Oryzias latipes: one gene and its partner. The protein of the gene in region 2 binds, or shares a complex with, the protein of the main gene of each other region. Links are inferred from orthologs where the notes say so. Each region holds a gene or a part of one and is shown on either strand. Other genes may lie near its edges. The genes, in order: shh and disp1.

Region 1 (4,569 bases), on a different chromosome or scaffold from region 2:
TGTTTGGCCTTCTACAAGACAACTATTTTTGACGCCCAACCAATTTGGAAAAAAAAGCATCACAAAGAGGCTTTCAGTGCAAAAAGAAAAAAAAGCGAAGGAAAAACGTTCATTATCCTCTCCGGCAAAGTCCTGAAACGTGACTTGCTTGCTTAAGTTGAGGTGTTTTTGGATGCTGACTGACAGACCTTTGGAGATCTGTGAGGGCGTGCAGAAGAGCATCTCTAAACGCTTCATTCAGAAAATTCTATGACAACTGCTGTTTTATGAGGGCTGTTTCACTCGCAAAATGCACTAAAACAACTAGAAAACAAGTTTTGCGCACTTTTAACATGGAACAAAGCGGTGCAAAGCTTTATCCTTTTATTAATTCATCAGGTCGTGTGCCACGAATCAAGCCAAATTCTACTCAGCCACCATGAAGCCCAGCGGGGCGCTTTGGACCGCTGGGCTCCTCGTAAAGTTGTTCAACAGCCTGCCCACTTAATCTTCTCACAAATGATTGGGTTAAAGGAAACACTTGTCAGCTACCTGTCAGTGCAAACAAACTCCCATCTCATCTCTACCTTTACAGAATGGATAAACACGAAAGAAACTTTTATGAGCCATTTAATCTCCTGTAAAGCGTGAAGACCGAAAAACAGCAAAAGATAATTCCGTAATTCAAAAATCAAAAATAGTGGACAAATTAAAAAATAAAGAAGTGCAGTTCTCTAAAAGAAACAACGAAAAACGATGCCCACAATGATCAGATCAGATTGTGGAAGACATGTAGAGAAAATAAATAAAAACTATCTGAAAACTTGTGTAAAGCAAACCAAATCTGCTGATAACTTTCCTGGGGGCGAGCTGCTCCTCCTTCAAAAACACAGTCCTGGCCAGACTTCAGTGAGCTGACTCATTAATTTATTTACTGCACACATCTAACCGAGCTCCTGAAGGCACGTGCCTTACTTCATGTACAACACCTGTTTTCTGAAACACCAGATAAGGAGAGGAGCCGGTCTTTCTGCGTGCGTAAAATCCCGCGCGTAAAAATCAAGTGGCACAAAGCCCAAAACAAAGCAAAAACGTTGCGACAGCTTAAATCTCCATGTGATTATGCTTATGTCATTCACTACTGCGTTCCCCTCTGTTTGGATTTGCATGGTTGAATTTGATATTGCTCTGCTGTGAAATGCACGATGACGCAGGAATAACCTAGTTTAACTTGCGCCGACCCCCGACTGACCAAAAGTTCAAAGTTTATATTGAGTTCCTTTTACACGCACAAAGAGTTGTTGAATGAGGACTGGCTAGTGAGGCGCCAGCCACAAACGACTCAGCAATAAACAGACTTAAACGTGCATTTTAGCCACTCATCCACGTGGACGCGCCCTGCCAGTGCAGCAGGTGGAACATTTTCCAAAGAGTCTTCAGATTGAAGCAGGTGCTTCTATATATGTTTCTGTTCTTCTAATATTCGAAATCACCTCCCGGGCCAGTGATTTCCTCCCCACGAGTGAGACCCTCGAGGCGTCTCACACAGAGGATGAGGGGAGCGCAGGGTGGGGGCACGCGGAGAACGGACGCACGGTGAATATTTTATCAGGCTCATGCGCATGCATGGTTCAGAGCTTCATCACAACCTGCGACGCCATCATCACCACCGGCATTTCATTCTTACTGAGTCAATATCACCCAAGCGGCGTGAATAATTCACCAGGATGGGAGTGCTAAAAAGTCACACTGGAGCGACGCGGCATCCTGCAGAAACCACTGCATCTTTCCACTGTATCGCGTCTTCCTCTCTGCGCTGATTTGATCACCAACGCGCTGCATCAGGAGGGAGCAGAGAAACACATGCCATCCTGATCCAGTCCTGAAGTCTTGATGAAGCTAAAGAAACTGTGCACAAATCCAGCGCAGCCAAACAGCAGTTGGTTGAGGATAATTGTGCGAATGAGCTGCGCCATGTGTTTTGAAGCGGCGCGCAAACCCGACGTTCATGGCTGTTATTACAAGAAAAGGCGCATAAATGAGCCGCAGCATCCAAACAAGCCCTGTATGTAAGTTAGTATGAATACGCGCGTGTAGAGCAACAAATCAGGCTTCATAGAGATACAAATATAGATGTGAATATAGATGTGAGGAGAGGGGCGCATTAATATTTTATATACACTGTCACAACCATGCAGGCCGAGTGTCCTGACTGTTCTCCTGCACATCACTTCTCTGGATTTCAATGCTCGCTTCAAGCCCGCAGCGTTTCCAAACTCCCATGCTGGTGCATAAAGTGCATCTGCTCTCACAGTGAAGTTAAAAGGCTCAGTGTGAAGAGTTCAGCGGCAGGAACAACACACTTCACTTAAGGTGCGCAATCCAGACCGACAAGGAGGTTGTTGCAGTGCGCCGGGATGGTGCGTTAGGAGAAGAGGGGAGGAAATGGTTCTGTCTCCTTACCTGAGTCATTAGCCTGTCGGCTCCGGTGTTCTCCTCATCCTTGAATATGATGTCTGTGTTATAATTGGGAGTCAGCTCTTTAAATCGCTCGGAGTTTCTTGTGATTTTGCCTTCGTATCTGCCGCTTGCCCCGAGGGTCTTTTCCGCCACGTTGGGGATGAACTGCTTGTACGCAAGAGGTGTCAGCTTCTTCGGGTGTCTTCTTCTGCCGTAGCCCCTTCCCGGTCCGCAGCCCATCCCAGAAGACACTAAGGACAAGCAGAAGAGGCCGACCAAAACAAATTTGGCCCAGAGTAGCATTTTCTGTCCACCCTCCTGTCCTTTAAAGATCTCAAACGAGTCACCGGTGCTGGTCTCAGCCGCGCGTCTGTCAGGGCTCTCGCTCCGTCCTTGTCTCGCCTGGTCTCTACCGCGGCAGGTGCGGAAATGAACGCCTCAGACTAACGCTAATAACGGGGCACATCGAAAGAGGGGTTGGAAGAAAAAAAGTAGTAAGGGAATTATAAGCCACGGGATCTCTAGTCGAGCTGCAGCGTGTGTGAGCCGACCGCCTTTAATGCTTTGTATTATAGCACCGATCTATATAGCAGGGGAGGGACTAGACAAACCCTCCTGATGTTGTCCTGCACACACACGCGCGCGCGCACACACACACACATTAAAAAAAAATCTTAAAAGATTTTTCCCACCTGGGGGTTAGCCTCCGCTGCGGGGAGGAGGGGCTCCTCCATGGGAAAACATCAATTATAAACCGTCTTTTTTCACCCTCCCTCCCGTTTTCCAGCTTTCACGAAACACACACACACACACACACACACACGCAGAGGAAGCGCAGACAACTTGCACAATGCTGTGCTCAAATCTGAAGCGGCGCTCTCTTGGATGAAGTGACTTCAACGCGTGCGCTTGCGCGCGCCTGTGCGCATTTATGGCCGAGTGTGCTCCCGGCGCGCGCATGCACACACCTGGATTTGCAGTGAAAAACAAAAATAAATCAATAAATGCATTCAGTGTAAAAAATAAAAAGGAGCAAAGATTGGCATTTGTTCTAACCGACGTCCTGGCATGCAGAGGGCTTTAAAGCACAGAGATAATTAACCCATAACAGGATTTTCTTTCTATCAGGTGATCTAAATTCTAAGAAAAGTGAGCAAAGTGACTTCCAGAGTGACACTGTTGTCTGTGGTAAATATATAACATAAAACGTTCCATAAAAAGAAAGATGTAAAAGCTTTTTACTCCATATTATTCAAATAAAACTAATTAGGAATGCCATCTGTAATGTCACATTCAGATGATAAGTAATGTAAGGAAAATAAAATATAATTGACCCAAAGACAGAAATAAAAAAATATTAATGAGCAAATCTAGCTCTTTAAATCTCAGTTTGGCTATTCTCCAGCATGGTGCACCTCTCATGGTGCCATGCTGGAACAACCAGTGAAGGTGAGACCATACTTGCTGCACAATTACCAAATTTTGATTAAAACAAACTGCTTCCAGCATCACTTTCTCAGTTGTCAAAGAAATTCTAAACATTTTCTCATCAGAAATATTTCTGCAGCTGCTTTTGCAGAGGTGCTATTCAAACACAGCAGTGCTGGGAGTTTACAGTTCCCTGAGGGACACCGCGTGGTACTATTTGGCTCCGGGTCAGAGTGTTGGTTCAGGTGTCGCAGCTCTGAGATCAATCCTGATGTGACACACAAACTCCTTAAAGCCACCGAGCTGAAAGGAGGAGGTGGTGAGAGTCCTCATGTGAATGATCCATGGGCAAAGTGTTGTAATAACAAAAGCAACAACAGGGAAAATATTAGAGACTGAACTGTATTGCTTCTAAGTGACAAAATGTGATGTGGAATGACATGAATAATACAGAAAATGCAATGAATAATGCAGCTCCGAGAGCTCGTAGTGCTGATGGGTTTGAACTTGAGTTTCCCCCACAGAGGAACCGACTCTCAGTCAGACCTGAGGTGCAGAGTATTTACAAAAATGTAAAAATGTCCAAGCAGTTTTCGGGTTTGACCTGGGAATCAGACAGTGAAGGTATGTGCAAGCTCAAAAGTAAGAATTTATGTATTTTTTTATGTCAGAAGAACAAAATTCTCATGAATTTGTGCATCC
Region 2 (4,511 bases):
TCCCCTTCTAAAATCGGCATAATGATATAAAAAGACCACTGGTACGTTTTTACAACAGGTGAAAATATGATCGGAGTGGGAATTTAAAAAACGTAAACCGTTAAAAAGGTGCTGAATTTTTCCCCAAGTAGTTTTAAAAATGTATATCAAATAACTACTTTTTAAAGCAAATGACAACTTCCAATATTTTAAACTAACTTTTCAAACTAAAAGCACTCAACAAAAGGTCTATACTTTTAATCCTTGAGGTATCAGACTAGCAGGGAAAAATAACTGCACAGTCCTTTGTTAAAATGTAATTTTTTTTATCAAAAAATGCTTCTCCTATGCGAGGGTCAGTGTGAAGACACTGAAAGAAGAAAATGTGTTATCTGTGATGGCATCACGCAAACTGGAAGTTGATGACATGGAAACGGACTCAGATGCTGCAGACTTTACTGCCGGTAACTTTAGTGCTCTGGTATGTGTCAATATCGAATAAAATATGACCCGTTTGTGTTCTGTCGTAAAGCCAAGCAGCCACTTAAGAAAGATTCAAGATTTAAGTCCAGCTTATACAAATGTATGTGGAGCTTAAGGGATTTTGTTTAAGTTTAATGATTCCAATAAAACACGGTCATCTAATGAAACTGTCAAAGGCAGCTGTGCACAAATATGGGGTTTTATTTTAAACTAACAGTCAAAAATGTCATTTTGTGAAACAGATGAGCCTTCAGTTCAGCTTTAAGCAATGTGTCACACTTGCTAGTTCCTTCATCCAAAGGAATCGGACTTGAGACATGCGACTTATTCAACCGATGTGACACCTGAACATGAGTGAGTGGCGAAATATGAGCCTGAGAGCCCGGTGGGGTCAGAGGTGGCAGAGAGGCCGGGGCTGGGGAAAATAAAATGCAGGGAGGAGAGGAGGAGGAGGAGGAGGAACTCCAGAGCCTGAAGAGTTCAGAATAGCAGAGCGCCCAGATGAAGTCATAAGTCTGGGGTTCACAAAAAGCTGTCAAAAAAACCCTGTAATGACTCAAAAGCACTCAAAGGAAGCAGGAGCATTTGAGGAGAAGAAAACTGAAAGCAGTTCTTGTGTAAAATGAAACGATTTTTCATGATGTTGGCATCCACTGGAATTCAGCCTCAGTTCTGTGTGCACCAATCCACACCATTGACATGGAGGTGATACTTCTGTGCGGACACAAGCTGGGCCTTGTGTCTTTTCTTCAAAATAAAAGCACAAAACTAGAACAGAATGGATTAAACAAGTGATTCAGAAGCAGAGAAAGTGATAGTTGAGCCCAGATACAGTAAACCAAACAGGATCTTAAATACTTTTAACAAAGTGTAGCAAGTAAATGAGGAAATAAAAAGCAGTGTTTTAGCTCTAAAAAACAAAGTTGGACCACTTCCTACCTAATCTTATCTTATCTTTAAAACTAATAAATATGACCAAACTGTTGTTTCTACCAGTTTTTAGGCAAAATTGTGTAGATTTTTAATATTACTTGTAGGAGAGGGAATTACCATGTACCAAGCCCCTAAAAGAAAAGCTATTTATTTTTAATTTACCATGTAAAAAAAACGGGGGTGAAAAAACAGACCAAAATACTCATAAGTGGTTTGAAGTAACACAGGTTATGACGAAGAGCTCCTTTTGCTGTCTTTCAAGTCGGCTTTCTGATTATGGGGTGTGAGAGATGAGGAGAGACCTTTGGGCGACAGCGCAAGGCGAGGCATCTGCACCCCTTTAATCAGAGCTAATAGGCAGCAATTACCAGGAATCTGTCAAGAGACGCTTCATGACAACACTGCCTGGAATAATGAAATCAACAGCAGGGAGTAACCTTACAGATGTGCACATGCTCGGCATGGCTGCAGGACACATGCAGTCCTGGCTGACAAGTTTCTGGTTGTCAGGAGAGATTTTGGACATGTATGAGCACCCCCCCCCTCAAGGGAATTCACTCACTCACAGCTGGGTGGTTAAACATGCCAAGTAAATATGGGTGCTTCAGGCTAGTGCTTACTGACCAGTAAGGGGGGAAAAATTAAGTACTTTTGAGTGTTTTTTTTTTAACTAAAAGTACTACCAAAAATAATCTAGAGAAAGCATGATAGGACGGGTAAAGCTGCTGCTTTGTCTATTTTGGATTATTTTACAGTATATTATCTGTTCAATACACTTTTTTAAGGATAAGTTAAAAAAACTTCTGTAACCAAAACAATAATAATATTTCCAATAAGAAAATAATTCACTCTACCTTCTAAAAATAAAACTCCTGGGAGAATAATGAGTCTTTGCCAAACAAGACGCACGAAGTCAAGATGGATACTTTAAGTTAACTTAAATTTTCCAAACCTTGCTGCTGAAAACCACCAGACTTTCTGCTATAAAACCTGACAAAAGTTTTAAGAAAACGAACAGATAGCAAACAGCAAAGTGAAGGACGTCAATATCAACGTTGTCCAACCGTGTTTGTTGTGTCTCCCGGCACTCTGCGCTCGTTACGCCAGGGGGAATCGGCAGCATGCGACGGGTTGCAACATCAATGAAACAATGTAAAACAAAAATGTTTTTTTTTTTTTTTTGTATCCGAAAGCACCTTTAAAAAAACCTATCAACCCCTCCCAGCAAAGAAAATAAAAGAGGCTGCTACAAGTTTCTCTTGTGCGTCCTGTTCGAATGTCTAACCACCTCACACGCTCTCACTTACAAACATACTGAAGGATCTGCGCGCCGCTCTCTCCAGAGAGACGCTGGTGGGTTGGGACTGCGCCGGGCAGCACTGATAGGACGGTCACACTGCCTGCTTCAACCCCCTCAATGCCGCACGCAAGAATTTTACGCGCAGCCTGCGAATATCCGTGCGCATTGTGTGCGTAATTTCGCCGCCAAGCTTTTAAAGTAATAAAGAAAAAAAAGCAATGAAATTTCCTTAAAGGGAAGCTATATTTTTATTATTATTATTTTGACCCCCCCCCACTTTTCAATATTATTTAAAAAAAGTAAATTCATATATTTGAGTTTTTGCCCCCAACTTTCATCAACTTTTAAGTTCAAAAGCAAAAACTTTGCTCTTTTAAGAAGTAATAATGGGTACTTTGCTTTCTTTTCATTCGACTCTTGGGAAAGAATGTGCTATTTTAAATCTCTACTCTAGAATCTTTTACAATAACTTTGCAAAAAAGCTAAGCTTTAATCAAAGCAAGCTTTGATTAAAGTTTGCTTTAATGTGTAGTGTAGTCATGAGAAGCCTCAGAATTGCATATTTTTTACTTTTATTCCATTAAAAAGCATTAATTTGTTTAATATTTCAAACAATGCATTTTTCTCCTGATGAAGGACATATATGAAAGAATTTAAGATTAAAAATGCATTTCTGAGTATTTCCTTATTCAAATCACGATAGATCAAGAGCAGATAAAAAACCTGCCCTTTAAAAAGGTTGTGACGCAACACCTGAAATTGGCGGGCCACAAGCTCCCAGCACCGCTCGATTCTGATGCATCCACTTAAAACAAATAGACCCATGTACGTCTTCACTTTCCTCGTCTGAGGACTGCATGCCTAGATAGCTAGAGTGGTTGCCAGAGAAACATTGATTCGGACCGACTGGGACCAATTGCTGCTTACTGATGTCGTCCGGCTCCATATATAGCGACATCCGTACCGCAAAAATAAAAAAAAGGCAACTGAATTGACTTCATCTGGTCAGAGCTGGAAGTAAGTCATTTTTCTATGAGCGATGTCACACTCACCTGGTCCATTTTTCTTGTACAGTCAGTGGGGCTGATGGAGCACGGAACTTTGACCAACTCAGTGTTTTTGGAACATTGTTGGGTTGCACAAAGGGGACTCCAGTCAACGGGCCCATCCAACTTCATTCTTCATTTGCACTTCATTTTGACTTTCATTTGTTCCTACAATCACATCTTTTATTCAGTCAAATGAATTTTTTTGTTCACATTTGGGAATGACTTCCTGTCATGGACACACTCAGCTGCAGTCAGAGTCTTAGAGCAGAAAGCACAGCGTCTTAAACACAGGATGATGTTTCTGTTGGAACCATACTGACCAATTTGGCTCCATTATGCGGCCCATAAGTGATCCCATTTACATAGAAATTACATAAAAATAAAATTTTTAGAATCAAAAACTGGCTTTTCTCCATGTTTAGAACAAATGGTCATAATTGTAAATGCTGTATACGTATGTGGTGCTGTTCTAACTTCATTGAGGCCTAAAGTGCTTTACCCTCAAAAGTCCCCATACACACACATTTAAACACTAATGGTGCTAGTGCGAAGTCGGGGTTCAGTGTCTTGCCTTGCTTCGGCACAGGCAAAGTGGAACCATCCTGAAACTTTCTAATCCGTGATCGACTGCTCTAACTCTACAGAACAGCAGCAACTCAGATTAATGCACAATACCACCCTTACTAAAATATTTTTTTTTACAAATGTAGCATGTTTACCTTTTATTAGAGACAATTTCATTTAACTGTTTAAATCAAAAAGCGTCA

The links.
Region 1: the proteins of disp1 (region 2) and shh are in contact, whole or in part, in a cryo-EM structure (PDB 7E2I), measured with the Homo sapiens proteins. The link is inferred for Oryzias latipes from reciprocal best matches to the Homo sapiens genes DISP1 and SHH. Residues at the interface, in NP_001356523.1 of Homo sapiens: Lys242, Thr244, Gly245, Tyr246, Lys247, Ala248, Glu260, His265, Arg299, Phe336, Gly337, Asp338, Leu339, Cys340, Gln341, Arg342, Thr343, Glu459, Arg899, His904, Asp906; in NP_000184.1 of Homo sapiens: Pro49, Asn50, Val51, Thr55, Leu56, Gly57, Ala58, Arg68, Glu71, Phe73, Lys74, Leu76, Thr77, Pro78, Tyr80, Pro82, Arg96, Leu97, Gln100, Lys186.

What each region holds. Positions count from the first base shown.
Region 1 is NC_019878.2:19,521,777-19,526,345, forward strand, and holds the start of shh (sonic hedgehog protein), read right to left. Parts: upstream 3,082-4,569; 5' UTR 2,743-3,081; coding exon 2,443-2,742; intron 1-2,442.
Region 2 is NC_019882.2:13,643,112-13,647,622, forward strand, and holds the start of disp1 (protein dispatched homolog 1), read right to left. Parts: upstream 2,900-4,511; 5' UTR 2,709-2,899; coding exon 2,703-2,708; intron 2,697-2,702; exon of another isoform or gene 2,460-2,696; intron 2,447-2,459; exon of another isoform or gene 2,250-2,446; intron 1-2,249. UniProt on the Homo sapiens protein: Functions in hedgehog (Hh) signaling. Regulates the release and extracellular accumulation of cholesterol-modified hedgehog proteins and is hence required for effective production of the Hh signal. Synergizes with SCUBE2 to cause an increase in SHH secretion.